4 linked regions of the Alligator mississippiensis genome follow. The protein of the gene in region 1 interacts with the protein of each later gene in a pairwise test. Links are inferred from orthologs where the notes say so. Each region holds a gene or a part of one and is shown in the gene's direction. Other genes may lie near its edges. The genes, in order: zinc finger protein 777, MTUS2, ZC4H2 and PLEKHF2.

Region 1 (7,516 bases):
TCAGGGTGGAGGTTGGCCTCACCTGTCTCCTTAAAGCGCTGATAGTGGCAGACTAACAAATGCTTTGCTTTGCTTACCCTGGGTAGCATGGGTACATGGGGTAGATTTCCATGGCCACGAAAGAGCCTGCAGATGGGATGCCTGTGATCATGCCTTTCTGCTCCATGGCTTCTCTCTGGATTTGCCTGGGGGCTCAGAGAGGGAAGGACATCTGTGCAAGGCTGGATGCTCACACTGGGATTCACCTGTGCATTGGGCTGGGTATCTGTGCAGAGTTGGAGCAGGCACTGCAGAGGGGGCTCCCACACACCTGTTCCCCTGCTGTGGGGAGGAGCAGATGACAAGAGCTACTGGAAAATGACCTGACCTGGCTAAAAGGTCTTGCCCCTCTGCTCAGGGTCAAATCAATGCCCTATGGAGTCAGGACCGGGGACAGGCCCCATCTGCAGACCCAGGGAGGGGGCAGCAGTGCAGCCCCTGGGACAGCCTGAATGGACTAGGGACCTACTCTCTACCCATGGCCAGGCCAACAGCTGGGTGCCCATGGCCCACGCGAATGAATAAGCAGATATTTAACTGCTGGACTCTATTTTCTGTTGGCTAATATAAGTGGAGACAGTCCACTTTGCCAGCCAGTGGCCAACGTCTGTGTTCAGTTCTGAATGGGGGCCGAAGTTTTCATGGACCAAGAACCAGGCCTTTTTTTATAGGGCTGATCATCCCACACAGGCTGAGCACCTGCTTGGCCCACCACTGCTGGGTTGTGGAGTTAGACGTGGTTTCCCAGTGCAGGACCCTGGGTTCTGCTGAGGCTGGAAGTAGCAACGGGTTCCCAACAGCCCCGGGTGTCAGCAACGGGGTCCATGCTCAATCCTGTCCTCTGTGTATATATTCAGCCATTCCCCAAGATTTGCAGGGGTGGGGGGCAGATGTGCACAGCCCTACAGCATGTTCCCTGCTTGGCTCAGGGAGAAATTAGCCCAAGAAGAAGGGAGGTAGAGGATGGTGGGAACACTTGTGACCTGCAGTGAATGAGCAGGAGCCCGCGTGGCTGCTTTGTCCTATCCCCTTGGCGTTTCAGAGGTAGAGAAGATGCCAGCTTGCAGGTGGCAAAGGGGATTAATTAGGGATGCACCTGATCAGCAGCAGGCCGGGCTTGAGCTATATAAGCCCTGGGCCTGAGAGGGGCTGGGTGTGTGATCAGGGGATGCAGGCACACAAAGCAGGGCTGAGAGAGAGCAAGACCAAAGAAGGTTTAAAGACAAGAGGAGTGTCTGAGTGTTGGACCTGGATGTTCAGGAGCCAGGCAGCGAGTAAAAGTCAGACCAGATGGTCCACAGGCCCCGAAAAGGGCTGAGAGCTGGACTAGAGGGTCCACAAGTCCAAGAGGGGCTGCGAGCTGGACCGGAGGGTCCGAGAGCCCAGAGGGAAGGGCTGAAAGTATTGAGGAGCCTGGCAAGGGGCTAAGCAGGAGGGACCTCAGATGCCACCATTGAATGATAACATCTGCGAGGCTTGGGGTGTGGTGTAGGGCAGAGCGGGGCCAAGCAATTAGCCCTTTAGGCTACTGGTGCCCTCCAAAGGCACGAGCAGGCTGAGAGGGCCTATCAAGCCTGGGGGGTGAGTTGAGACTAGTATGGCCCCTTTGCCAGGACCGAGGCTCACTCTAAGGCCTGTGGGCAGCCTCCCTTAATCAGCCTTTAATGAGAACAAGACATGGCATCCAGGGAGGGTGACATTAGAGTCCAAGCCGGGCAGGAGCCACACAGCTGCCCCGTGGCCTTGAACTGCTACAGAGGGGGTTTGCCGTGCAAGAAAAGCAGGGCGCAGGGCAGCGGGACAAGGGTGAGCCTTGAAAAAAGCCAGCTAGGTCGGAGGTGCAGCAGCCGGCTCTCCCAGCACAAAGCAGCAATGGGATGTGCAGCAAGCCCTTACTCCAGCCGCATCCTGGGCCCTGCATAGACCTGAAGTAAAAACACATGACGAAGCCAGTGGGAAGGAACGGACTAAGCCTGGGGTGGGGTAACAGCAAACCAGCAAAGGCATGAGATACGGTGTAACAGCAAGGGGCGAGAAAGGCCCCTGGGGGAGGCTCTCTAGATTAATTTGGGAGAAAGAGGAAGGCAGAGGGCAGTGAAGGTCTGGTACTGATGCCAAGGAGGTATTTGGGGCATGCTGGGCTTCTGTCCAGTCAAAAAGGCTAAGTTAAAATGTAATGTTAATGAGGAGATAAGAGTATCGGCCAGGAGGGGAAATAAACAGGTTAAGGAGCCTTCGGTGCAGTCGGGTCAGCAGGAGCTGATGAAATCCTCCCTCGGGTAGTCAAAGAACTAGTCCAACTGATCTCTGAACCCGCAGCGATTATCTTTGCAGTTGTCCCAGACCAGGGGAGAAGGGCAAAAAACACAGTCCCTGTTTGTTTAAAAAGGGGGTCCTAGCAGCCTCGGAACCAGATGAACAGAAACGAGCCATTCATGGCTCAGAGGATGGACGGCAAAGCGAGCTTTTCAGGTTTGCAGATGAGGCCAAGCTCCAAGCAGCCCCAACTACATCATCCCAGCCCGGGCTGTGTCGAGCCGGCCCTTAAAAACCTCCGAGGATGGAGATCCCAGCACCGCGCTGGGTGACTTGTTCCAGTGCTTCACCACCCTCCTAGTGAGAAAGTGTTTCCTAATATCCAACCTAATCCTCCCTTGCTGCAACTTGAAACCATTGCGCCTTGTCCTGTCTGTTAGCAGGAGCATTGTGCGTGCGACACTGGAGACGATCGCTGCACTCTGCGGGCCTCGCTGTGCCCCCGCTTCAGAAACAAAGAGAGTGCCGGCAGTCCAGAGCAACAAGATGGACGGGGGGCTTCAAATCAAACCAGCTGGAAAGGTTGAAGGACCTGGGATTGTTTCGTCTGGAAAAGAGCTAGAAGGAAGCATGCGTAAAAAAAGTGTATTGTCAAGAGGACAGCCATCGGGGAGGAGGGACGGCGGGGGACACGCACAAAACTGGGTGAAAACCAGCGCTCCAGACTAGTTACCGGTGGTTTGCTGTCAAAGCAGGACGGCATCTCAAGGGAGGCCTGCCCTGGCCCTGGGTTTATTCAGTGTTTTCACTGAGTAATAAGGATGATGATGAGAGCTTGGGAAATATGGCTGGGAAGAAAAGGCCAAGAAACAGAGTTTTCCTGTGAAAAAAGCAGGGCAGGGGGTATAGAGCCACAGAGAGAATCGTAGGGTAAAAGGGGCTTTTGGGGGTCCATCCTGTCCAGGATCGTCCCTGACTAAACCATCCCAGACGAGTGTCTGTGCAGCCTGCTCTTGCAAAAGCCCAGGGATGGGGACCCCACGGCCTCTCCGGGCAGCCTGTTCTGGTGCTGAACCACCCCCAGACAGGTTTGCCCTACCCCCCAACCTAGGTCTCCCCTTGCCACAGTTCAGCCCATCGCTCCTTGCCCCGGGGCTATGGCCATCCTCCACAGAACAGCCCCATGGAAATGCTGGGCCGGCGTGCACGGGGGGGTTCGCCTTTCACCCTGTGGATTCCTATCGGAAGTCTCGGGGCTCATCGTGTGAACCCCGGTCGCCCACCTAGCAGTGCTAACGCCACGTGGCACCCTTGAAAGGGTGGCAGCCGGGTTGAAGTGAAGTAGGAGGAGGAACCTTTACATCAGCAGGGCGGCAATGGAGCAGGCTCGGGGCCTCTTCTTTAGGGCAGGCTTCGGGGAGCTGCTGAGACACAGGCTTGGTGCGTGGAGCAGGCAGCTGCCAGCTCCGCTGATGGGATTCGTGGGCAGAAGGCACTGCAAAGGGACAGCGGGGCCGTTCTCCTTCCTCGCAGCCTCTCCCCGGGGTGTCTGGCGCGTGCACGAACAACCCTGTACAGCAGCAGGTCGCCGGCGGCTGCGGTCCTCCTGCTCTCCCTGGGGCACGCGCGGGGCGATGCCTGCTGTGTCTGGGCTGGCTGTGTCGTGCTGCTCAGAGGTTGGGCAACGGTTTGGGTCTGGGCTGGTTTGCACGGGGCTCGTCCTGCCGCACGCCAGGGTTGCACCGGTGTCACTTCTGCAGCTCCACGTCTCCGTGCTTCAGCGAATGCAGAACCTTGGCCCCCTTCCCGGGACCGTGAAACTCTTCTCCTCACCTGCCGTGGGGCAGGGGCAGGGGCAGGGGCGGGGGCTTGACGCCTCTCTCAGAGATGTGGAGGGCTGCTGCAGCCCAGGCTGGGGCTGTGCCAGTGCTCCTGCTGGCACCAACCCCGCAGGTCCTGGAAGGAAGGGATTTCCCCCTGCCCAGACTGGTCTGCACTGAGGGGGCGGGAAGGGATCTCCCCTTGCCCGGGCTGGTCCACACTGGGGGGGTTTGCCCCGTTGCACTGGGGCAGGAAGGGATCCCCCGGCCCAGCACGGCGGGCCCGGGACAAAGCGGGCGGCGGCGGCGGGCGGAGCTCCGGGCCCTGCCCCTGCCCCGCGGCAGCGCGGACACACGCGGCGGCGGCGGCGCCTCCGGCCGGCAGGCGGCGCCGTGGTGCGGTCGGGCCGCGCAGCCATGGCCGGGCGCGCCGCGGAGGTAAGCGCTGCAGCGCGGAGCATCCCCGGGCGCGGGGCGCGGGGCCCCCGGAGCGCCCCAACTGCGCCGCGCCGTGCACACGTGCCCTGCCCCGCGCCCCGCACCCGCCTCCCTCCCTCCCTCCCTCCCCGCCCCGCTGCACAGCTGGGCAGAGCATCGCACCCCCTCCCCTGCCCTCCCCTGCCCTGCCAGGTGTCCTCTCCCCCGGGGGTGCTGCCCCACCGCCTCGCCTGCGGCACCCCCTTTCCGTAGCGGTGCGCAGGGGAAGGTGCCAGGTCGGTCCACCTTTGTCTCGCCGTGCCACGGTCCCTCGCCGTCCGCTGGGTTGCGGGAAGCCCTAGCCCGAGGGGTGGGGTATGGACTCCCCCAGAGACGAAGTGTCTGTGCCCGCAGGTTTCGGCGTGTGCCAGGGACGCCAGGCTCCACCGGGCTCTGCAGCCCTCCGTGGTCCTCAAGCGGACGCCGGTGGGAGCCATGCGTGGCCAGCACGCGGCGGGCTCGTTGGGGGCCGTCATGGCCACGCTGGAAGCGATGGAGAAGAAGGTGGAGTCGCACGCGGTGCGCCTGCTGAGCCTGGAGGGCAAGACGGGGGCGGCGGAGGAGAAGCTGGCCGGCTGCGAGAAAACCGTGGTGGACTTCGGCAACCAGCTGGAGGGGCGGTGGGCCGTGCTGGGCACCCTGATCCAGGAGAACCAGCTGCTGCAGCGGCGCCTGGACAACATGGAGAACCTGCTCAAGAACAGGAACTTCTGGATCCTGCGCCTGCCGCCCGGCACCAAGGGGGAGATCCCGCAGGTAAGGACCCCCGGTCACAGGGCCGTAGTAGGGTCACGGAGAAGTAGAGCTCCGGAGGTCACCTCTAATCCAACCCCGGCCTCAGCCCCGTCCAAACCATCCCAGACAACTCCATCATCTCGACTTTGTGTAAGACTGACCTCAACCCTGACACGACACCGACCGAACACCCGAGCCTGCCGCAGGGAAAGCAGGGAGACTGCGGCGGTCAATGTCTCGCCTCTATAAAACCTGCTCGAGAGGTTCTGGGTAGGGGGCTATGCCCCGCTGCGGAGGAAGGGCCCTCCCTGCCCCCAGTCCGCACCCATCTGACCACGGGGGAAAAGAGTCCTTCCTGACCCCAAAGATGTGATTGGTCTGACCCTGAGCAGAGGGGCAAGACCCTCTAGCCAGGAAACCTTGGCTTTGGTCCCGGCAGGAGAATTGGCACGCCCCCGTTGAAGTTCCCACCCTTAGCTGTAGCCAACACCCAGCGCCTCTGGGGAGGCTTAAAAACACCCTGACAACAGAGGAAAAAAAGGGAGTAGACAGCAAAGCCCAGAAGCTTGGGAAATACCTATGGTAGAAAACAGGCATCGCTACACCTAAATTGCCCCCAACCAGTGACAGCCCAGCATCTTCTTAAACGCCTCCAGTGATGAGGAGTCCTCTACCCCGTTTCTGGGGTTTTTAGGCCACTGCCTCACTGTTCTCACAGTGGAAATGATTTTCTGGATATCCAGCCTCAATTGACTTTACGGCCTTATATCAGCCATTCCCAACGGGCGTTTCGTGCATGGCAGTAGGGACCTGAGTCTGCTTTATGCAGCGAGGAAAGGTGGAGGCGTAGTGCGATAGCTGCAGGGTGGCAGGTCGTTCTCGGAGCCCAGCAGTCAAGCTGGCGATGGCTTGGTGCGCGGGCTGCTGCGGCAGGCCTGGGGTACATCTGCACGCATCTCATGCTGGTTGCCACCTCGTGCGTGGCCGAGGTGTGTGGTCTTGAGACCAGATCCCCAAAGGCATGGGGGGTTGTAGTGCTGAGCCCCTGAGGTCTCCAGCCTCATGCTGGGTGTCTCAATGCAGCGCTTGGGGGCAAGTTGCTGACCAGGAGCTCGGTGTGCTGGTTGCTGACCAAACTGAGCTGGAGATGCAACGGGCAGAAGACAGGCTGGAGCTTCGGTACTTACCTGTGCCACCAACATAGCCAGAGATCAGGGCCTTTCCCTCTGGCTGGGTCCTCAGCAGTGACGCCTTTCCCTGCTGTTAAGCAGCTAAACCCAGTTTTTGTCTGAACAAAAAAGAAGTGGAGAAGCTGGGGTGCTACCCCACATCCACCAAAGGCCCCATGGTTAAAGCACTGCTGGAGTGGGGGCAGACAGCTCGTCCTGCTTTGGTGGGGACCCGGTCACGCATGCGTGCGCAGCATTGCATGTCTGTCTCCTGTCTGTGCAGCATCCAGTGTAGGTGGGCTAGGAGCAGGTTGTGCTGGTGACAGGGGGTGGCTTCGTGCCTGGAGGTAGGCAGCAGGCCCTGGGTGGCTTTGAACAAGCTGGCTTTTGCAAACAGATGACCTCAGGGCTGGGTGGCAGCTGGGGGAACCTCTGCAAAATGGGCCAGGGCACCCCGGATGTGTCTCGAGGTGCATTTGGCTCAATTGAGCATGCGGTGAAATGCAGCCCCTCTCTTATGGGCATGCAGGCTGTTGTTGAAGCTGCTGAGCGTGTGACCTCTGTGCTTGCAGGTGCCAGTGACGTTTGACGACGTGTCGGTCTACTTCAATGAGCAGGAGTGGGAGAACTTGGCCAGCTGGCAGAAGGAGCTGTACAAACACGTGATGAGGGGCAACTATGAGACCCTGGTCTCGCTGGGTGAGCATTTTGTTTTACTCCTGTCTGGGCAGCTGCACTTGGTACGGGCTGGCTCGGGGTGAATCTGCGGGGCCTTCTGGTTTCTGGAGGATTGCAGGCAAGACCTGTTAGGCCATCAGACCCACACGACAAATGCGGTGGAAGGGCAAGCTGGGTAGGATCTCGCCTCATGTGCTCTCTGGGGTGAGCTCTATAGAGTTTAGGACTGGAAGAAATTATTGGGATCATCCAGCCCTGTGACGCTCCATCCTGACTCAGCCAGGAACCAAAACACTAGAGCAAGAGGTGAAGTGTGGCAAATACGCTGCAGTTCGAAAGAGA
Region 2 (7,613 bases), on another chromosome or scaffold:
CCTACGGGCCAAAAGGGGAGCACATAAAAAGTGGAAACAGGGAGAGATCACCAAAGAGGAGTATACCTCCTCTGCTCGCACTTGTAGGGAGGCAGTTAGACGGGCCAAAGCTACCATGGAGCTGAGGATGGCATCCCAAGTAAAGGATAACAAGAAATTGTTTTTTAGATATATAGGGAGTAAAAGGAAGGCCCAGGGAGGAATAGCACTCCTACTAAATGGGCAGAAGCAATTGGTGATGGACAGGGGGGACAAGGCTGAACTCCTCAACTAGTTCTTTGCCTCAGTGTTCCTAAGAGAGGGGCATGACAAGTCTCTCACTGGGATTGTAGAGAGGCAACAGCAGGATGCCAGACTACCATGCGTAGACCCTGAGATGGTGCAGAGTCACTTGGAAGAACTGGATGCCTTTAAGTCGGCAGGCCCAGATGAGCTCCATCCGCGGGTGCTGAAGGCACTGGCCGACATCACTGCACAGCCACTAGCAGGAATATTTGAACGCTCGTGGCGCACAGGCCAAGTCCTGGAGGACTGGAAAAGGGCCAATGTGGTCCCCAATTTCAAGACGGGGAGGAAGGAGGACCCGGGCAACTATAGGCCAGTCAGTCTCACCTCCATCCTTGGCAAAGTCTTTGAAAAAATTATCAAGGCTCACATTTGCGAGAGCCCGGCAGGACAAATTATGCTGAGGGGAAACCAGCACGGGTTCGTAGCAGGCAGATCGTGCCTAACCAATCTAGTCTCTTTTTATGACCAGGTTACGAAATGCCTGGACACAGGAGGAGGGGTGGATGTCATATACTTAGACTTCAGGAAGGCCTTCAATACGGTATCCCACCCCATACTGGTGAACAAGTTAAGAGGCTGTGACTTGGATGACTACACAGTCCGGTGGGTGGCGAATTGGCTGGAGGGTCGCACCCAGAGAGTCGTGGTGGATGGGTCGGTTTTGACCTAGAAGGGTGTGGGCAGTGGGGTCCCGCAGGGCTCGGTCCTTGGACCGATACTCTTTAATGTCTGCATCAGCAACTTGGACAAAGGAGTGAAGTGTACTCTGTCCAAGTTTGCGGATGACACAAAGCTATGGGGAGAAGTGGACATGCCGGAGGGCAGGGAACAGCTGCAAGCAGACCTGGATAGGCTGGACAAGTGGGCAGAAAACAACAGAATGCAGTTCAACAAGGAGAAATGCAAAGTGCTGCACCTAGGGAGGAAAAATGTCCAGCACACCTACTGCCTAGGAAATGACCTGCTGGGTGGCACGGAAGTGGAAAGGGATCTTGGAATCCTAGTGGACTCCAAGATGAACATGAGTCGGCAGTGTGACGAAGCCATCAGAAAAGCTAATGGCACTTTATCGTGCATCAGCAGATGCATGATGAATAGATCCAAAGAGGCGATACTTCCCCTCTATCAGGCGCTGATCAGACCACAGTTGGAGTACTGCGTGCAATTCTGGGCACCACACTTCAAGAGGGATGCGGATAACCTGGAGAGGGTCCAGAGAAAGGCCACTCGTATGGTTAAGGGCTTGCAGGCCAAGCCCTATGAGGAGAGACTAGAGAACCTGGACCTTTTCAGCCTCCACAAGAGAAGGTTGAGAGGCAACTTTGTGGCTGCCTATAAATTCATCATGGGGGCACAGAAGGGAATTGGTGAGGTTTTCTTCACCAAGGCGCCCCCGGGGGTTACAAGAAATAATGGCCACAAGCTAGCAGAGAGCAGATTTAGACTGGACATTAGGAAGAACTTCTTCACAGTTGGAGTGGCCAAGGTCTGGAATGGGATCCCAAGGGAGGTGGTGCTGTCCCCTACCCTGGGGGTCTTCAAGAGGAGGTTGGATATGCATCTAGCTGGGGTCATCTAGACCCAGCACTCTTTCCTGCCTATGCATGGGGTCAGACTCGATGATCTATTGAGGTCCCTTCCGACCCTAACATCTATGAATCTGTGAATCTCTCATCCTGTCTTTTCAATACAGCATGTTTTATGAGTTGATTGGAACAATGGGTGCTGGCTCTGTACTAGTAAAAGAATAAACGCATTAATAACTTTGACATTGTATTGTAAACTGAACTTGAACTATGTAACTAAGACACACTATCCCACAGAGCTTACAGTCCTAGCCAGATAAAACAAGACACTGGGCAAGAGTTCAGACAGAGCAAAAATAAGGGAAGGTGTGGAGATTATTATTTGAATTTTTAAGAGGGGCTTAGGTCGATAGGGCTTTTTGGTGGTGTTTTGCATATTTAAGAAAAAACCTGAAGGGAGACAAGAATTGGAGAGTAGCCAGTCAAGCAGCAGAAAGCATTCCTCATTAGTAATATTTCCAAAAATGTTGTATTTGAAACCCTATTTAATTTTTCTTGACTCAAGTGTAGTAAAGCTTCTGCAAGAGAAAGAGGATGGACACACATTTTACTTTGGCATTCAGAAAGCTGGTACCTTGGGTCCATATAAAATAATCCACTACAGCTCAGTCATTTGTATGTACAGATGTCAACTTGCACTTATAACTATACTCATTACATGGGAAAAATAATATAAACATATTCATATAGCCATATTTAAATGGTGATGGTGTATGAAATACTTGACTAAATGTTCCTAGTTTTTCTGTGAAATTAGAAACTTGGAATTTTGAAAAGGGCTTGTGCAGTAGGCTCTAACCATAAGTTTTCTATGTCTCTAATCAAGAGATTACCCTAAAGCAGGGGTGCTCAACCTCCAGCTCTGGGACCAAATCTGGCCTGTTAGACTGGGCACATGAGGCTGATCCAGGCAGCATGAGGCCAAATAGGGGTTGATCTGGGTAGTATGGGACTGGATCCTGGTGCACAGGGCCTGATCTGGCCCACAGACAGGCCTCCTGCCACTCATCTGGCCTGTGGGGCCAAAAGCACTGCTGCCCCGAAGTTTAATAAACCCAGACTACTTTAGACCAGACGGAAGTGCCTGTTTCAAAGACAGTGGGATTTGTCACCCTTCTTGACATGTCAGGGCAGAATGGCTATTTCAGGGATTCCAGAAAGTGGTTGGCCAATTCTTGAGATCTGTCTGAAGTGATACAGTGTGCTTGTTCTTTTCCTTAAAGCGGTGATTCTCAACCGGGGTGTGCAGCACTTTTTTGGGGGGGGTTGAGATCCTTCAAGGGTGTTGCAGGGTCCCATGTAATGTTAGGTGTACAGACATGATTCTCAAGATAAACCCAGAGATTTCAAATAGGAATCCACACAGTTAAAACATTCTGACCTTTTATTATCTCTCTGTGTTCTTTGAAACAGGGGGACAAAAAGATCCTTTTTCCTTAGTCAAATGATGAGTGAAAACAAAGAGCTGGCATATTCTGAAGGGTGCTTTGAGTTGGGAGGGGTTGAGAACCACTGCCTTAGAACCCTGAACTCAGATGGTCACATATATCTCAGCTTCCAGGTCAAGAACAGAAATGCAGTACTCTAGAACTCTTGGTTCAGAGATGATACCTCCCATTAGACCAACTAAGAAATTACAAAAGAAATGATCTTTTTCTGCAAGCTCTTGGGCACACACACCGTTCCTCAGGCTCAGGGAAAACTAAAGATGGGGAAAAATCCCCATAAGTAAAGAAAAAGCATTGGGCATTGGCTGCGGCCAAGGCTGGGGATTGTGATGGCTTTTGCTGGCACTAAGTGGGAGGTTCCTGGCTAGAGGGTCTTGACCTTCAGCTTGGGGTCACATCGATCCTGGTATCCGGGGATGAAATTTTCCTCTCCTGACCGGTACCAACTGGGGGTGAGGTTTGTCTTCCTGTGGCGGGGGGATGTGGACGGTAAGACCTCGGGATCTCTCAAGCATGCATTAAGAAGCAGGATGTTGGCTCTCCTGCTTTCTCTGTGGCAAGTTGGGGTGCTGTGCCTTGGGTAGTGTCAGGGTTGAGGGCCGCTTCAGGAAGGGGCAGGCACCCTCCAAGAGCGTGGCGCTCGAAGACATGCCACGTGGCACGCGCCTCGGGGCGGTTGGTGGAGAAGGGCCTGGGGCCACACTGCCACGACAAAGATCGGGCCCCTCGTGGCTCCCCCATCTCATCTCATACAAGTCCAGGTCGCGGGTGCTTTCGGCCCCAACACGTCGCTGACCACGTGATGGTTACATTCTGCACTGGTCCAGGATGCTGGGGCAGGCGGGCCGGGGGCTGCCCTTCCCGCGGGTCTGTGTCAAGGCCCAGCCCAGGGAAGAGGTAGGCAGCAATGACAAGGCTCCGCAGCCTCCCTTTCCCCCTCCCCAACTTTGTCACTTGGGAATTTGTTTTTGTGGCCAGCCCTTCCCGTGGCACCTGGCCGCAGCCTGCCGGGCTCGGCGCCCCTGCGGCGCGCGCGGGGGCCGGCAGGGGGCGCTGCGGCTCCTGGCGGCGCGGAGGCAGCGGCGGGCGGCTGCTCCCCGAGCCTGTAGGGAGAGCTGCTGCCGTGCGCACGGGGCGGGGCGGGGCGGGGCGGGGCGTGCAGTGCGCGCGGCTCTCGGCAGCCGCGGCGTTTGGTGCTGGGGGCGGCGGAGGCGGCGACGGCGATAGCGGCTCCAGGTAGGGGCAGGGCGAAGTTGTCCGCGGGGCGCTGGTGTCGAAGCGGGTCCGAGGGGCCAGGGGTCCCTGCCGCCAGCCCAGGTGGGCGCTGCTGGGGGGGCCCCGCTGCCCGGGGTGTCTGCTCCCCCCGCGGGCCGTCCCGCGTGGCGCCTAGCGCCTCTCTCGAGGAATCGCCCACGATAACAAAGCGGCTTCTCTGAGTCAGAGGCTGTGAGTGGGGAGCTGTGGTGGGCATCCGATCCAGAGCCTGCCGCCCGTCCTCAGGTGCTTGCGCCGGGGTCTCAGCGAGGACAGGCAGGCCGGCTCGCTCCCTAGTGCGGGCACGGCGTGTGCCCACAGCGGGCTGTGTATCGGAAGCCGCCTTCCTGAAGGTAACCGGAGCGGGGAGAAGACCGTTTCTGTCGGCACCGAGCAGGCAGGTGGCTAATAATTTTGCTGAACTCGCTGCGTGAGCCAGGGGGTGGGATACGCTCGCAGCCCCCAGCTGACATGTCTCTGCTGGCACTATTTAGAAGCGTGGGCTTGGACAAAACGCTCGCGCTGGGAAGGGTTCAAGAGGTGTTTGTCCTTCGGGTCACTGTAACGGTAGGGATACGCCAGCACAGCTCTTGCAGCTCATTACGTGAAGGCTTTGAATGTTTATTAATGCCTATAGTTCAGCAAGTTGCGTATTAGCAATAGGTATTGATACTAGTGTAAGGGTAGCAAAATAAAGTGTGAAATACTTGTATACAGGTAAGATTTTTGCAATGGATAGGTGTATGATACAGGCACTTTTGAGACGCTCTGCGCTGAGCTGTAAAAGGATGTAGAAATGCCTTTTTTGTCTTTGTTTTTATTGTAAGTGTGTTATGTGTGTGAGGTTTTATACAGGGTTAGTTTTTGTGCCATTTGGATTTTTCATGTAGTTTCTATGTAGTATTTAATATTTAACTCTTATATTTTGGCTCTGTGTCAAATCTCTCCTTGTCAAACCTTTTTTTTTTTCTCTGATGATCAATATCTTTTAAAAACATCTGTATAAAGAGTTTGGTAGAGAGAGAAAAATCTTGACTGCATCTAGTGCAAAAAGGGAGGGGTTTTTTAAATGGCTAGATGTATCATAATTTTTTAGCTATTATTTAGTTCACTGCTTGTTGAAATATTTGTAGATTTGATTTTTGATAGATACAGCTTGTCTTTTTTGGATCTGTTGAGGAATGGGAGCACGTTCTGGTTACGGACTGAAATATTTTTTTAAAAACAGGTCAACAAAAGGAAGTCAGATTTTGATCATCATTTCTAATTTGTCTGTTTGGTTTATGGTGGGATTTTTTTGAGGTGAGATTTTTTTGCATGTCTTGCATTTGTTGTTTTGCTAATGGCACTTGTGGAGACTTTAATAATAAACATGACAGCTTCACAGGTGAAATGCTACTAGATATGCTCCAGAAGTTTTTTGTCAAATATTTCTCATGGTGCCAGCAATACCTGGTCTTTTTAATAAGATAAAGAAAGGGGGGCAGCTAATGTATAACTTAATATGGTTGATAGTAGAGGTTTGTTAAATAGCATTTGCCATGATATTTAGGAAGAAAGCAGCAGTTTCCTAGACTTTGTAAAAGCTCTTAACACTGTACATTACAGGAGGCTATTCAGGGACCTTGGTAACCATTCACTGAGAGGTAATTTTCTCAAGAAGTAAAGATCAGTTAAGAGATAAAAAGTGCGGAATGGGAGTTGAGGGCTGCTGATGATTTTTTTTTTTTTGGTTTGGGGTTAATAGAGGATGCCCCAGGGATTAGCTCTAGGACCAGAATTGTTGTTTCTAATGAAACTTAGTGACTGTCACATGATCGGACAAGCACAAAGTAATGCAGTTTGAAAGAGCTAATTTAAGCTACTCATACCCACTGATGGCTTTTGGACCTGCTATAACCTCTTAGGAAGAAAAGATCTAGGTGACATCTCAGTGAGAGTGTCAGCTAAGAGGGAGGCAGCAGCCAAAGGAGGAAAAAATGAATAGGTTTGCCAAGGAGAATGCTGAAAAATGCTCAGTTTTTCATGTGTTGTTCAAACATTTGTTAAATTACTATATTTGTAATGTTACTATCATCCTGCACACTGCAGTTAAGGTTATTAAACAGGATGTTTGTATCTGAAAAAGAAAAATAGCTGAGAAAAACAGTAGAAAGTTAATTGATTGATGGGAAAGAATTCTGTGCCTGGCTTCAGTTCTGCAAACTTATACTTGTGTAAGTAATGGGTTTTTTTAAAGCAAAGTAGTTCAGTTTGTTTTTAAGGTGTCTTAATACTGGTATCTTATTCTAATGCCTGTATTTCTATACGAATCTGTGGCAAAGAACTGAGACCTAAATACACTGAGGGATGTAGCTGTCCAGCTCCTGGAGTGGAATTCACAAACCTTCATTAAGTTCAGAGTTTATTATGGAGAGAAATAGATCCTTAAGGAGAGGATTTATGATAATTAGAGGTGCACAGATGCATCACAGTCTATATCATATCAGCACCAGTAAAAAGAACATTGACATTATCAGCATTTGACTTTTTTTGGCTGATGTGGCCAGTAATGGTGCTGATAAATGCTGTGTGCATGCACACAGCTGCAGCAATCATGTAGCCAGCCCAGCAACTTGGAGAGCAGCGTCCAGCTGGTAAGTCTGTTGGGGTAAAGGAGGGGAGGAAAGGGGGGTGTGTGTGTGTGTGTGGGGGGAGGGGGGATTGAGGCCCCCATCGTGAGGGAGGGGTGGGGCCGGGGCAGATGCTGCCTAGCTGGGGCAGGGCGCTGGACGGAGCTGCAAGTGGCTCGTCCAGGGGCTGTGGAGAGGGAGGGGGTGCCCCCCAGATGAGCCATTCCCTCCCTGCACCCCTTGGGTGAGCTGCTCTGTCCCATGCCCTGCCCCAGCTGGGCAATGCCAGCCCCAGTCCTCCTCCTCCCTCACTGTGGGGAGCCACCCCCCAACAGACTTACCAGCTGGATGCTGCTCTCCAAGCTGCTGGGCAATTGGATTGGTATCTGCTGATATGGCTTGTTAATAATTGGCCATCGGTATCA
Region 3 (7,952 bases), on another chromosome or scaffold:
TGTTGTGAGTATTCATCACTTCTTAAAACCAGGCCCCTACCAAATTAAAATTAAATGCTTCCAAGATGAAGTTCATTGACATTTTTCAATTCCTCAAGACTAGGTGCTTTTCCTATCTGTCCTAACAGTCTGCCCCAGGCAGAGTCACAACTAAGCCCCATCATTTGTTTGACTTTATGAATAAACAAAAGAAATAATGACACCACATATAGTTCAATCCATGCCTTCTCCCAAACACAGCTGCTGATGCGGATCCTAATTCAGCGTTATTCAGTCTACACACCAGAATATCTGCTTAACACAGGAGATGTGTGAGGACATCTCACCCCTGAAACCTGGTTTCTGCCTTTTATTTCTTCCAACTGCAGGGCCACATTCTACCCCATGACCTACTTCAAATGGTGATTTGTAACTTATTTCAAAATGGACTGAGGGAAGCAAACTGGTATAAACAGGGCCTGCTTTTTCAAGCCCTCCGTATACCACATAAATATCCCTTTTAGGTTAGTGGGAATTGCCATGCATGGAGGGTTTTTAATCAGTCCAAGGTTTTTTAGTCCAACAACATTTACTGAGATGGTTATACTGTCACATCATTATTTCATTTCTGAGATTCGGATTTGCTTGATAGTGCTCCAGGAATGCAGGGAACTTCACTGGCAAATATACACATGGGATCTCTGCAAAGGGCAAATGTAGGCAGAGAACAGCTAGAAACAGCAGTTCAGGAACTACCCTTGGAGAAGAGCAATCTTCTGCAGACAGCAGGAGAACATTAACAGCAGGTTGCGGAAGAGTGCAAATAAACGACAGGGAAAATCATTCTGCTCATTTGTGCATAATTAGGACAAATAGTGTTATCTGCTAAAAGAATTCACCTTTTAAATTATCAAGAGAGATTTGGTCTCATATTCCCTCACAGCAAACTCCCATTTACCTCAAATGGAGTTGAGTGCACCAAGAATGAGGAATTAAGCACCTGGAAAGATCTTTGTGTTAGTTTTGTATGCAGAAGACAGCTCCAGACCGACATGGCTTGTTTCCCAGATCAGTGAAGCTCAGACTTAAGGAAGTAACAAACTTTCCTGTGTCATGAAGAGAGGACCCATCTTTCGACAAAACTGTCTTACGTCACACACGTTAACAACCACATTTTATTTGGGTAAAAAAAATTTCCAAATGATGGTGATACAAACAGTTGCAACATTATTTATCAAGAGTTTGTTGTGGCATTACAATCAAGCAATGCTTGGCAGAAAAGGTGCACGTCCTGAGCAACCAGCACATCTATAGAGACTCCTGAGATACCCTTTTGTTGGTACAACTTGTAGAAAGCCTCACTGAGAGTCAAACATATTCCTCCTCCCCAGCTGGAGATCTACATAGAGAACTGAAGTAGATGGCTTCTCTTTGGCAAAGGTCCATCTACTTTGCCACACAAGTAGCATTTCTGGTGTGGAGTGATCTAACTTTGTGCCCCATTTCCTAATAAGTTTCTTTTTTGCTGCTCATTTATTTCAGATTATGTTTTCTATTCAACGGAAGTATCAGGTGCCCAGGAGAAGATTGTAGCATTCCTTATTATGAGAGTTGTAAATGGCAATGCTCTTCACAACTGGCAATGTTTGACATAAATGCATCATGGAGTGATTGTGAACACAGATAGGTATCTTTAGAAGAAACCTACAGCAGTCAGCACAAATACTCACATGTGACTGGAGTTACCCCTCTGTTACCATGGACATGCAAGTTTTCAGTTAAGTCAACATAAATTTCATATTTGGTTGAAGTTAAGACTATGGATTTAGAGGTGAAGAGCAAAATTAGGCCTGTTTTTTCAAAATAAATATGTATATCCATCACCTGTAAAAATCCAGCTACTTATTTACATACCTGATTTTAGGCTACTATGTTTGAAAATGTAAACCCTAACCTTTCTGTGGTTCTATTTTTTATGCACTTTTGCAAAGCACTCTCAGGATTTCAGAAGAAAAGGGCCATATATGCACAGTATTTATCTTCTGTAGCATCCGCTGTTAAGAGTCATTCAGTATAACAATTAAACAAGATCCAGTCCTGCTGCACATTATTCTTCAAGTAGCTTTTAGTGATTGGATCAGGGGACTGGATATCAGAGATCTAGGTTCAATTCTGAGTTAAAGTTTGGGCAAGTTCTTTAGCTTCACTGTGCCTCAGTCTCCCTATCTGTAAAATGAGTGAAAATAGGCCTGATGGCAACTTCTTCAGCAATCAGGGTGGTCTGGATCTGGCATTTGGGTTTATCCAAAAAAGTGGCATTACAGTACTGCTTGTCTCATGGAATGTCATTAAGCTCAGTTAATTAATATGCATGAAAATGTCAAGGACAGTGTGCCGATTACTGCCTATTATTAATGCAATAGAAAATAAGGGCATTGACTATAATTCTTTTCGCCTTTCTTTATCAGATTGAGCCAAACGTTTCACCTACCCCACAAAGTACACAACACCCAAACTTGCCGGTAAGAGCACAGGCATAATGGGCTGCAAGAGATTTTCAAGATGCTCAGTAATGCATCACACACTTAAGCCTTCTTCTTTGGCAATCCATCGCATTTGAGGATGATTGTCTTCCATGACTGGCTTATCCATGGGTCCGAAGATGGCTTATGAGGCCAATCCAGGATCGACAGGCTTTGCTGCAACTCAGGCACATTATTGCATGTAGAGTGGGTGGCTCTGGATTCTTGATTTGGTCTGAGACACGCTGTTTCTGCCACTCCCACGTTTTCATCTCTTGTTGTTCAGAGGACTGATTTTTCCAGCAGACTCTTCCTCCATTTGGGGTGGTCCTGGGAGATAGTCTTCCACAAGTTGATGTCCATGTTGCATTTTTTCAAGTTGGCCTTGAGGACTTAAGCCTACAGTCTACACAGGATGCAGCCCTGGTTGTTTGTGATTACATCTGGGTGGAGAGTCAGGAAAAAAAAGTAATTTTGATGTGTAGGCATTTTGGAGTAAAATAAGAGAGGAATGTTTCTGCAGGATGGCTGGAAAGTGAAGAGATCTGTCCTTCCCTCCTTTGGGCCTTATCCTGCAAACTCTAGTAAACCCATGCCCCCTGCCTTGCATAAGTAGTTTCACTGAAGTCAGTGATACACTGTAGAACTGGAAGGGTCCTCAAAAGATCAGCTAGTCTACGGGTGTAAAAAATGTGTCCCATGGGCCAGATTTGGCCTGCAGAATTATTTATTCCATCTAGCCTGTATGCTTACCAGTGGGCTACTGGAAACTGTGGAGGCCTGCTGCGGATTCTGGGGATGTGGCCATCGGTGCAGGGGCAAGGGCTGAGCAGATACAGCTCTGCTCACCCTCTGGTTGCCGGCCCACCAGTACTTGGCCCCACCACCACGTCCCTTGTATCCACACTGCCACCTCTGGACTCCCAGTGCTGCAACCATTCTCATGCCCTGCTACTGTTCCTGGCTCCTTGCCAGACCAGCCGCAACCACTTACCTCCCAGATCCAGCCCAGGAGGACCCTATGATTTGGATCTGGTTCAAGATGAACTCAATACCTCTGATCTAGTTGGACCCTTTGCATTAAGATTCCCCAGTTGGACTAGATGATCTCTTGAGGTCCCTTTCAGCCTTACTTCTCTATGAAAGAAATAAAGTGGGATCACATATACCAGACCATCACCAACAGTTGATTATTTAATTTGTTCTTAAAAAAATCCTGTGAAGAAGATCCCACAACTGTCCTGGTTACCTTGTTCCAGGGCTTTGCTATCTTTATATTTAGAAAGGTTTTCCTTATATCTAGCCTAAATCTTCTCTGCTCCAAATGTAGCCAATAACTATTTCTCCTGTTCTCAGTGGACATAGAGAGAAAATGCTTACAGTCCTCTTTATCGCAGCCTTTTTACATAGTGGAAGACCTCGGTTTCCACTCAGGCTTCTAAATTAAACAAACAACGTATCTTCAATCTTTCCCTAGAAGTATTTCTCCAAATCTCTCATCATCCTTGTTACTTGCCTCTGAACGTCCTCCAGTTTGTCCGCATCCTTCTTACTCTTGCGTTGCCCAAAGCTGAGAAAATTGTACCAGCTGAGGCCTTAGCACTGAGTAGTACACAATACTTACCCACCATGTCTTCAATATGCTTCTCCTACTAATGTGTTCTGGAATGATATTGTGGGTTTTTTTGGTTTTGGGGTTTTTTTGTTTTTTGCAAAAATGTTGCATTCTACAACTGTCTACATAGCATCTAGCATAGCGTACCATGGTAGCCGGACAAAAAAAAAATAAAAACCTCTTTCATACAGGATTGGCAGGCTAATTCAGGGTCTGTAAATTTTTTGCAGATCCTCAGAAGGAAGGCACAAAGAAGGCAAAGGGTTGCTTTAAATATTTTCTAGCGTCATATTTGTATTCTCACTTTATTATTTCTTTTCTGTAATTTACACTCATTATGTTGTCCTGAGACCATAAAGAAAATGATCAGGAACCCCCACGCTGTCTCTGGGTACCCTCATGGCAATTAAACTGTCCAATACACAAGTGTGTGGCTGTAGCAATGGTTACAGCTGTGATTATTTTAAAACGTCTTTTCCCGTCAAATCTTAGACTTGTCAAACTCACCCTTAATACTCATATATTTATTGCTGGATTGGTTTAATTGAAATAAAAACAATCCACAAACCTCAGGGAGGAAGTACTCTGCTCCCCTGCCCTCCTAACAACCTTTGACATTATTAGCTGTGACAAATTGATTTAAAGTGTGGCTGCAGGAAGAGGAGTAGGAAATCTCTGCTCTGCCTTGTGGGTGTTGTAGTCTTCCCTGCTTCCATGTGCCTGGGCAACAATAAGGAACTGGACTCTAACTCCCAGAGCTCCTCCTAGATTTTACTGCACAGGCTCAGAGACCATATGCCTGGAGGGGGGTGGCTACATTGTGTCTATTGTATGGGGTTTTCTTTCCTGGCACTTGCACATTTAACAGGAGGTTTAAATTGGGAGTGAAAAGCATGGCTGATGAGCAAGAAATCATGTGCAAACTGGAAAGCATCAAAGAGATCAGGTATGTTTTCTTTTGTGCAGCATCAGTTACATGAAGCTTTTTCTTCTTTTTATGGTATGGATAATGTACACTGACTTGAAAGTAGCTATTGTTATGCTACCAAACGAAAAAAAACCCAACCTCATAGCACCCCAGAAAAATCAGAGCCTTTATGACAGAAGATGGGCATCATATTTCTTTAAAAAAAAAAAAAAAGTAGAAAGCTGCTGCTTTTGACAGCCAGTGCCTGTGGAACCAAATTGTAAGGTGGTGATCATCATGTACTTCCAAAGAATTACCCTCAAGCAATAAAATGAGGGGAAGGAGTACAGTGTAGCAGCGGATGAACCACTCGATCTGTTTAAAGAAGAGCGGCATAAGGATTTTTTTTAAATTCTTGTACACTGCTAGGATGAGATTTTTGGTTGCTTGTTTTTGGTTTGTTTGCAGGTTTTGGTCCCATCCATTCTTAACTTCCTTCTTGCAGGTTGCATAATGCACATATTTAATGGGATATAGAGGAAAAGTGGGCATAACAAATTGCAGGATATAACAAATGCATGTGGAAACAGAAGGGCTGCTCTAAAAATTAGGGAGGTGGGGCTGGAAAGTAGTTTCCAAAAAATTAAAATGGTTGGTGAGCCAGAATGACCTGTTACAGTGTCTGCTTAGCCAAGGCTCCAGGATATATGTACTGCAACACTGTTATAGACTGCAGAGGAATTTGGGGTTTATTGTGGGGGCAGTACAAAACAAAAACTGTGTCCTACAGAGATTTGTTTAGCTGATTTATTTCCCTCTTTCATCCCCATTTTGGAGAAAAGGCTGGGGATGAGGGGGTAGGGTGAAACGTGGAGGTTCTTTTCCAGGTTCTCTTTCTGTTGCGTATAGAGGACTTTGGGGGACAAGGGGGGTGGAGAGATTGTAACAAGGGTGATGAAGCAGGGACATAATAGCTTTAGAGCTGCTTCTGCCTTCCTGAGAGAGGCTACCAGGAAGGCAGGCAGCTGGAGCTCTTCACTCTTCTGTGCCATCTAATCTACCATTAATTTTTATATAGTGTCCTTCATACAGTGAATCGCAGGATGTGATGCAGGGGGAGTCAATCAAACTGCAGTGCATGGCACTGAGCTGGATTGTCTTTAAATGGCATGTTTGCACCTTTTTACTTCTGAACATCGTGGTTTGCTTACTTCCTCAGTTGTCTGCAATTAGCACGGACCTGTGAATTTAATAGCAAAGGCTCATGTTGTAGGGAAAGTAACTGCAATAATTTTGAAAGTAAATGGAAGATGCAGTAAACAGCCCTGGCTAGGATACAGCTGTATATACTTATTTGTGTGTGTACTATGCTGATCCACATCATGGATTGTGTTTTATATTTTTGTATTGAAAAGTTTAAAAGACCAGCCTGAGGGAATCAATAATAAGAAATCAAAAATTGCCAGTGCAGCACAGTCAGCTTTAATCCCCCGCTAACTGATTGATAAAAGAAACAGATATCAAAAGCACAAAATAAGAGCTGGCAGTAATGATAATTTTATCATTATTGCACCTTAACAAAATATTATGACTCTAGTATGATAAGAATTGAAAAGAGAAAGTTATGTTGCTAGGCAAGGGCCCGATCTTTTCTCCTGCAAAGAGTACAAATGAATAAGTGTTGTAAGACCAAACCCCACAAAATCTTTGTAAACGGCATCCTGGAATTCTCTACAGCAAAGGAGAAGACAGCAAATATTTCCCAGACTTCCAGTGATGCTCTGAAACTTTTGTGCTGAAACATCAAGAGTATAATTTTTAAAGCATAGACTTAATTGTGGCCAATCACAGTTCTGTTGAGATTCAATAATTTTAACATAGGATTCAAAATATCTGCCTGATTTTTTTTTCCTTTAGTTGTTACAATAGCTTGCATTCAGCAACATCAAATGCATTCAGATTTCTGATGATGATTATGTCCAAAGGTGACTTTTTACGTGTAGTTATTTAATACACTTTACTATTGTAAGTATTGCCTTTATTGTTCATTGTGGTACCAAGAAAATGACATGAATATCTTTAAAACATTTTTTAAAACAGTCAAAGTGCAACGTTCTGGGTCACGCTGAGTTAAGGCCCATTTAAGTGAATCCTCAGGATTCCCCCAGTGAAGAGAGTGAGAGAATGAGAATGAAACACTCATGACAGATGTTAGTTATGTTGGTTAATGTGCTATTGGATGGCATGTAGATACTAGAGGGGTAAGAGCAGTATAAGCATCTCAATAGAAAAGACAAGAATAGATGCAAGGGCAGAATCAATTAGATAAGTCTGTGTCCCAAAATTAGGTCTTTTATTTTCAAAAATATTTTATATGGCCAGATTTTCACAGAAAAAGTTCATGATCTGGGCATGCTTGTTTTTTAATGTAAAAAATTAATTGCTTGGGTTGAAACAACCCACTGCAACTCTGTATCATTTTGGCAGCACCTAAGTCAGTGATGAGAAATAGCAATGAAACTAACCTGTCTATTTTCATTGTCTTCAAGAAATAAATGGAATATATATTAAAAAATAGAAAGGAAACGTGTTCTTAGCTTCATTAGTCAAAGCTGCTGCTATTACTAAAGATGTTTTAAGTGGAGCCAAAGACAGTGATGAGGTTAATGTCAAATTAATATGGTCTCTGCTTTTAACACGACACTTGCATACAGAAAAGAGAAAATGAGAAAAGCAATTTCCTTGATGCAAATGTATTACATACATTCAGAATAGCAGGTACTCTTATTACCACAGATGAAATTGGTCAGGCAAATCCAGTACATCCTTCTCCAAGTCCTTCTTCAAGAGTTGCTTCTTTTATGATATCTGCAAAAAATAAAGGAACAGCTTACTAGAGAATGACTCCACTTTAAAAAAAATCACATAA
Region 4 (7,452 bases), on another chromosome or scaffold:
GGGCCAGGGAAGGAATTATTCCTAAAGTTAACCTCCCATCCCCTGAAAAAACAAAAAATCACATTCACATTTGGAACAGTGGCTTTGTAAACATGAATAATAGTAATAGCCAGGGATCTGGGTTTTCTGTTTTCTGTGGAAAAATGCATATTTTCTCAAAATTGGGAAACCTTGGGTTTTCCCTTGCAGGCTGGCAGAGTTTTAGCCTGCAAGGGGTGGGGGAGTAGGGTTAGGGTTAGGCAGTGTGGTGGAGAGCACCTCCTACAGCTCCCTGCAGGTAAGCCTATGGGAGTGGGGGGTGGGATGGGAGCACAAGTGATGCGTCGGAGGTGGAAGGGCACAGATAATGTGTCCCCCAGATTTCTGTACCCACAGTGAGGCACAGGGCTGCAGTGAGAAGCGGAAGGAGAGGGAGCGCTGTGCAGCCATGGACACCAAGGTGAAGTGCCCCCTGCCCACCCAGCAGCAGTTGGGTGCACAACTCCATGCTGCTGCCCCTGTTTCTTTCCCCACAATGTGTTGTTTGTGTCCACACCCCGCCTTCCCTGCACACTCACCCCCTTCTTCCCATACTGGGGCCTGGGGGGAAGTGGGGTGGGGCACTAGCAGGGCTGGGGGAGCTGTGGGTCGGGAGTGAGGGACACTGGTATGGGCAATGGCAGGGCACCCATATATAAGGGTTGCTCAGAACCACGAAGCAGCAGGTGGGACAGCTGCAGCTGGACTCGTGTTCTGATGAATGAAGGGGGTGGAGCTCTGATTTTCCATGATCAAAAATCCAAAATCAAACACCAAAATATTCAGGTATTTAGAATTTTATTATAATGACTGAGTCACTGGTAGGCTTCCAAATTGCTCTAAAATTGTAAATATATCAATAAAGCATAGTGTTAAACTGATACCTATATGTACCTACATAGGGAGGGTGTGTGTGTGTGTGTAGTGGCATTTAATTTCATCCTAATTGTGGAATAATGCAGATTTTACATTTTTATCAGAGAACTTGGGGTTTTTTATTGGAGAATTTGGGATTTTTTTTAAACAGAGAAAACCAGGATCCCTGCTAATAACACTGAAACCAGGAACTTTAATGGACTAATCGTTCCCTTTTAACTTCTCTCCATTTGATTTTATAATTTGAAATGACCATAGATTAAGGATTTGGGGCTGTTTCCTTTTGCTATTCAAATTAGCTGAACATGACAGCTAGATAATTTAAACCTCACTACAGTTAAATGAAACTTAATGGTTCAAACTGTTGGTGCAGTTTATTTCACAAGCACAGACTTGTACATGCTGATGAGTCAGGAGGCTGTGACACAGAAGTCATACCTTTGTATATCATCATTGTATCACAGGAAAAAATATCAAATCTCTAAACTTTTCACAGGCAACAAAAGCAATTTTAAGACCCATGACATTTCACATCACTTACACAAATACCTTTGTAAAATTCGTGTGGTTCTAAACTTATCCAAATAGATGATAAACCTGAAGCTAATGAATACATCCCCTAGAATAATAAAGGTTGAAAAATATTTCACAAAATTGAAATGGCAATTTAAATTAGAAATATGGGGCTATTCTTTAGGAAACAGGATTTTATTATTTATGTGGTATTTTTGGTATACAGGATACTGTACAACAGATCAGTGTTTCTTAGCTGTTTCAGGTTGGCAAGCCCTTACTCAAAGTGAAAAATCTTCATGACCTGCTGAAACATGTTATAAAAGTAAAAGGTTTATAACATTTATAATAATGATAATTCTTCTGATGAATACTTCTTGTTTTGAATGGTAAAGGTGTGCAAGGAGTAGGGGAACAAGATACTGCTTACTTCTGATGCATAACAGAATTTTCAACACCTTCTGATCACTTTTGTAGGAGTTGCAACCCACCACCTGACCAACACCACCAACCCACCACCTGACCAACAACCACCAACACCACCAACCCAAAACCACCACACTGTAAAAGATCATGGTTTTGTAACTAGGTGGTGCAACTACTTTCCAGACCAGTCACCTTGATCCAGCCTAAATGAGAGCAGCATGTTATATGGAAAAAGTTTAGAGAACTATGTATATAGATGAAGTGTCTTGTACAGTTACCAGATCCTGGATCTGAGAATCTTACAATCCAAAAGGCCTAGCTAGTACAACACAAAATGTGAGTGCTTCTCAGTCTGATTACCTCAGGAAAAGGGGTTCTTTAGAAGTTTTATTGGAGAGGGAATGAGCTTCACATACATTAGATGGAAAGCTATTCTGGGTGGCACCATGCCATAGAAACCTCAGTCAAAAATGGGCAAAACAAAAGATGTGTTAAAAGGCAATCCTGTGGAGGATATGAGGGCATAACATCTTGGAAGATAGTACAAATGCTTACATTTAACAAAACAGAAGCTGACAGGGGAGGATCTGGGGGAGAGCACTGGTGCGCTTGCACCCCACTTTGATTACTGCTCCAGCCAAAGTTTAAAACCACCTGCCTGGCAGTGGCGGCAGTATTTCTAGTCAGGCAGTGCTGAGGGAGTCAATGGACTTCATGGCTCATTATAATCTACCGGATCCTTTCTAAACTCTTCAATCCCCAGCTGTTACCAGCCCTCTTCTTTTTAATGGTCTTCATGTTCCACCAATCAAGCTCTCCTTTGTTCTGCAATTCTGGTCTCTCCACAGCCCTGCAGATTGTATTCAACTCACTCCAACTAAGATATATTTGTTTTTGTTTCTAATAGAAATGGAATCATACAGCCTTAGACCCCTAGTGTCTTAATAATGCTATTTCTTAATGTAGTCTATTTCTAACTGGAGAAAAATTGTGTTATATGTGATGATGCACCTCACCATCTGCACACCCCTTTTCAAAATCCTAGAGCTTGCCACGGAAGCTGCCATAAGACATGCAGCAAAGAGGAAAGAGGGTGAGGTGAGCAACGGATGCCCAGCAAGTTTCACCCACGATAATCCATTTCTCTTCGGCAATTGGAAGTGATCAAAGCCGTCCCCTGAGGCCGTATCAGGCACTTGGGGCTCAGCTCCAGCAGGCCTTTTGATGCTATGCTGTTCCAGAACGTGGGACACAGCCAACGGAGCAGAGCTAGAAGCCCCCACTCAATGAGGATGGCCACTAAGGACATGTCAGTGACCGCTTGGGACAACCAAGACAAAACAGCGATGGGGGTGAGGGTCACAGGTTCAAAACGAGTGCAGCCAGTGGGGACAGGGAGCAGAGGACACCGGACAGTGCCTACAGGCCCCTGAACTAGTTGAAGGAGCCAGTGGACACTGCCTGGAGAACAGAGGAGGGATGGGAAAGCGAGGTGATACTTCCCCTCTGTGCAGCACTGGTCAGGCTGCAGCTGGAGCATTGTGTCCAGTTCTGGACACTGCACTTCAAGAGGGATGCGGATAACCTTGAGAGGGTCCAGAGGGCCACTGGTATGGTTAGGGGCCTGCAGGTAAGATCCTATGAGGAGAGATTGTGGGACCTTGAATCTCTTCAGCCTCCACAAGAGACAGCTGAGAGGGGACCTTGTGGCTGCCTAGAAGTTCACTGGGAGGGGCAGCAAGGAATAGGGGATACTCAAGTTTGCCCAGGCACCCCTTGGGGTTACTAGGAACAACAGCCACAAACTGATGGGGAGCAGATGTAGATTAGACAACAGGAAAAAATTCTTTATGGTGAGGGTTGCCAAAATCTGTGATGGGCTCCCAAGGGAGGTGGTGCTTCACCAAGAGCTCAGGGGGTCTTGAAGAGGAGGCTGCACAAGCACCTGGCTGGGGTTGTGTGAGCCCTGCGCGCTTTCCTGCCCAGGCCGGGGTCGGACTCCATGATCTCCTGAGGTCCCCTCCGACCCTACAGCTATGAAAGTGGCGCTGCAGGCCTGGGGGGTCCTCCCTCCCTCCAGCCTGGTCAGGTGTACCGTGGCCAGGGCCAGGTGGCCCAGGAGGGCCTGGGGGTGCATAAAGGCGCAGGCAGCCAGTAGGGCTGCAGGGAGCCGGACACCCTCCCGCAGGCCATCTCCCCAGCCGGGCCGGGCCGGGCGAACCGCGCTGCGCCCCACACAGGCAAGGCCCCGCGGGCGGACACGGCCTCCCCGCGCCCGGGGAGAGCAGCCGCGCGGGGAGGCGGCCCTGCCCCAGCCTCCCCAAGATGGCGCCGGCCCCTCCCCTGCGCCCGGCCGGGCGGGGCCTGCAGCCAGTCCCAGAGTGGGAGCCCGGCGGGGCGGGGTCGGCTCGGCTGCCCGAGCGGGGAGCGGAGCGGGGAGCGGCGCGGCAGGACGGGCCGGGCCGGGTGAGTGTGGTCGCTCGCGCGGGACAAACTTTGGCTGGCGGCGCCGTCCCTGCGCGGGCTCCGCGGCCATGTCGGGAGCCCCCGGGGCCGTGGCCGTGGCTGCCTCTGCCGGGCCCTGCGCCCCGTGGCCAGGCGGCCGAGGCTCAGGCCCCGCCCCGCCCCGGGGAGCCGCTCGGGAGGAAAAGGCTCCTCTCCCTCCCGGCCTTCAGGCAGCCCCGCTCGGTCCTTCGCCTTCCCCTTCTGGTCCCGGGCCGGGCAGCGGCGATGGGGAGCCGTGGCCTGCAGCTCCCCGTGCCCAAGCCCCGGCCGTACTGAGCAGCCCGGCTGCTGACTCCGCGTCCCCGCTTTGTGCGGTCTGTAGCCCGGGACAGGCCGGGCTGGAGGAGTCGCAGCAGGAGCAAACTGCTGGTGGCTGGGGTGGGTCGGGCCCGGCCCGGGGTGGCGGAGCCCAGCGCGGGCGGGCGGGCGGCGGGAAACGCCTTCACTCGAGGTCGGGCTGAACGGATGAGTTGGGAACGGGGGAGTGACATTTCCAACAGACCCGAGTAACGCGAGGTTGGTTCGAGCATGGCACGGCACGGCACGGCACGGCACAGCTCGGCTCGCCGCTTCCTCCTGGCTTCCGAGTGAGAGAGAAATCCAGCGGTAGCTAAACTTTCAGGTCACTTGGAGAAGTTTGTGGGGCGTTAACAGAGTTATTTTTAGGAATCTGGGGGCTTTCTTCCTACAGTAGACGGTGAGGATTGCGTTGCTGCCTGGCTTCGCTGTATGAGCTCTGTAGTGCTTGCCTGTGTCAGTAGTACCAGCGACTGGCATCTAGCTCTGAATTAAGCCTTTCATTTTAAAACTGTTTAATCTAAATATTACATTTTAATAAGCAAGGAGCTGTTAAGGAGATTAGTGCAAAGTGAGAGTCTTGTTTCCACTGTAATAGCTCACTTTACACTCCAGCTCAACTCATTTTCCAGGTGTCTGAGGTGTTTCAAGCAGTACAGATATTGGCTGTAAATATCATTCAGAGAAAGTCCAGCAGCCTAGGACATGGTGACTCTGAAACCCTATCATCTTTGTTGGCCCCAGATTCCTGGCTCTTGCATACAAAATATATCTCGGGGCTTTGGAAGCTTTGAGGAGGTTGCTGCTGTATATGAAAGTAGATGGATGGAGTTGCTTGAATTATAAATGTAATACTGATGTGTAGAGGCTTGAGGCAGGAGTGGAAGCTGCTGCTGCTGCTTCCTTCATGTCATTCAGAGTTAAATAGATGAGTATCTTTTTTTGTAAAGATGTACCTAACAGTCTGAAATTAGAGGGGAAACACATTTTGTGAAGAGGGATTAATTTTGTTTTTTAAATTATAGGCTGCGGACTGGGACATAAATTCAGGGCTTGCTACTTTCTTCTGCATTTTTCAACCTGCTCCAGCTTCCAGATTCCCAGCTGTGTATTAACTAATTCTGTTGATAATCACTTTAATGGTTATATTCAGATGTTTTGGTAGGCCTTTAATGGAGGTGAAAAATGCATAGGACTTGATTGTTTTGTATCAGTCTTGTCTGGACAGCAGTTTGGGTGCCTTCACTGAAGACATAAAATTGTTTCGGGCTGTGCTTATGGTAGAGCATGCAAAACGGGCTCTTTTGTGCACTCTGGTCACAATTATCTTCACAGCTGTGAAGGCTAGATACTCGAAGTTGAAGTAGAGCATGTAGATAATAACAGAGATGATTCGAGTATGTTGAAGAAAATATGCCTGTTGACTAAAATATTTGAAATGCTGTGTAGTTGTAATTCTGACACTTGGTCAAATACATTAACTGGGCTCTCAGTATTAGGGTAATGCTGAGTTAGTTAAACTAATGGGCTGCTAGTATGTATTAATGAAGACAAGTAAAGAAACTTCAGGGTTGGCTTCAGCCAGACATGTTTGCTTACATCTAAAATATTCTCTGAAAGATGTCTTGCTTGTGCGAAAGAAGAGAAACCAAAAATAAAAACTGAGCAGTACTCTAAATAAGTTTTGTTCTACAGCAATGGGCTAGCTAGTTTTTAATAGACTTCAGTATATTTAATATTCAAGTTTTATTTTAGTTCACATGATTTGTAATACCAGTTGTCACTTCCAAATATGGCATTTGTGTGTGCTGGTAAATTTAATGGTTTAACTTAATTTTTAAAATGTAATATATATTTTTGTTTGAAAAGGTAAATTATGCAAAATATGTTTTTAAAATGTAATCATAAGTTTTAAAAAGCTTGTCCTTCCCTAATCAAATATAAAGTTGCTTTTGTTCCAAGGGATTTAGTTCAGCACTTATTTTTGTAGTGGTGGGAGTGAAGTGGATAGAGAAACTTATCTGTAGACATGTATGGAAGATCATGTTTATAAAAGCATTAAAATACTCTTCAGTGTGGTAAAACAAGTGATGACAGCTGCTGTAGCAAGTTGAGTCCTGCAGATTGCTAATTTGAGAAGTTCTGCTAAAGGAATTGGGGCTGCTTGTGTGAATAAGACTTGCTTTACAGTTTACAGACAGTCATGAATTATACTGCTGCGTACTTATTTTGGCTCTTAATTTTTTTTACAGTTAGGTCAGAGTTCATAAAGTTGCTACAATATAAATACCTTGGATCTTATGGTGTGTCTTTGCATACATACTACTGTAGGTAAAAACAAAACTTGATAGTAACTTAAGAATTTTAAAAATTATTTTTGAAGTTCAAATATTTCATTTTATAGGATTGTTAGTCACTTGCTTCAATTACTATTTTCTTTGTTCTAAATAATAAGCCAGGTAGGTTTATTTATCATATATGCAGTTCAAAGTACTTTATGCATTTTGTATAAATGAATTAAACAGTGAAATTAGTGGACTTTAAATACTGGAACTTTTTTTTCCCTAAAATATAGTAACCCTAGGAGAAAAGAGAGAATTTACTGGAATACTGACTTGTAGTTTCTTAAAGTTTTGTATTAATTTGGATAAGTGTTCTTGTAGGACAGGGGTGGGCAATTATTTTGGGCGGAGGGCTGCTTACTGAGTTTTGGCAAGCCATGGAGGGCCGCATGATAGGCAGCCAGGGGCCCATAAAAATTTAGAAAATTAATATTTTCAGGGCCCTGCATGTGGATAGAATAGCCTGGCAGGCTGC

Evidence for each region.
Region 2: the proteins of zinc finger protein 777 (region 1) and MTUS2 interact in binary tests that used the Homo sapiens proteins (3 or more experiments, as listed by UniProt). The two-hybrid records come from large-scale screens. The link is inferred for Alligator mississippiensis from reciprocal best matches to the Homo sapiens genes ZNF250 and MTUS2.
Region 3: the proteins of zinc finger protein 777 (region 1) and ZC4H2 interact in binary tests that used the Homo sapiens proteins (3 or more experiments, as listed by UniProt). The two-hybrid records come from large-scale screens. The link is inferred for Alligator mississippiensis from reciprocal best matches to the Homo sapiens genes ZNF250 and ZC4H2.
Region 4: the proteins of zinc finger protein 777 (region 1) and PLEKHF2 interact in binary tests that used the Homo sapiens proteins (3 or more experiments, as listed by UniProt). The two-hybrid records come from large-scale screens. The link is inferred for Alligator mississippiensis from reciprocal best matches to the Homo sapiens genes ZNF250 and PLEKHF2.

Annotation. Positions count from the first base shown.
Region 1 is NC_081828.1:218,304,746-218,312,261, reverse strand, and holds the start of zinc finger protein 777, read left to right. Parts: upstream 1-4,469; 5' UTR 4,470-4,532; coding exon 4,533-4,553; intron 4,554-4,564; exon of another isoform or gene 4,565-4,828; intron 4,829-4,946; coding exon 4,947-5,348; intron 5,349-7,068; coding exon 7,069-7,195; intron 7,196-7,516. UniProt on the Homo sapiens protein: May be involved in transcriptional regulation.
Region 2 is NC_081824.1:427,352,635-427,360,247, reverse strand, and holds the start of MTUS2 (microtubule-associated tumor suppressor candidate 2), read left to right. Parts: upstream 1-4,499; 5' UTR 4,500-4,558; intron 4,559-7,613. UniProt on the Homo sapiens protein: Binds microtubules. Together with MAPRE1 may target the microtubule depolymerase KIF2C to the plus-end of microtubules. May regulate the dynamics of microtubules at their growing distal tip.
Region 3 is NC_081831.1:63,327,065-63,335,016, forward strand, and holds the start of ZC4H2 (zinc finger C4H2 domain-containing protein), read left to right. Parts: upstream 1-4,881; 5' UTR 4,882-5,009; coding exon 5,010-5,062; exon of another isoform or gene 5,063-7,891; intron 7,892-7,952. UniProt on the Homo sapiens protein: Plays a role in interneurons differentiation. Involved in neuronal development and in neuromuscular junction formation.
Region 4 is NC_081826.1:42,918,593-42,926,044, reverse strand, and holds the start of PLEKHF2 (pleckstrin homology domain-containing family F member 2), read left to right. Parts: upstream 1-4,205; 5' UTR 4,206-4,299; intron 4,300-4,787; exon of another isoform or gene 4,788-4,960; intron 4,961-5,013; exon of another isoform or gene 5,014-5,035; intron 5,036-7,452. UniProt on the Homo sapiens protein: May play a role in early endosome fusion upstream of RAB5, hence regulating receptor trafficking and fluid-phase transport. Enhances cellular sensitivity to TNF-induced apoptosis.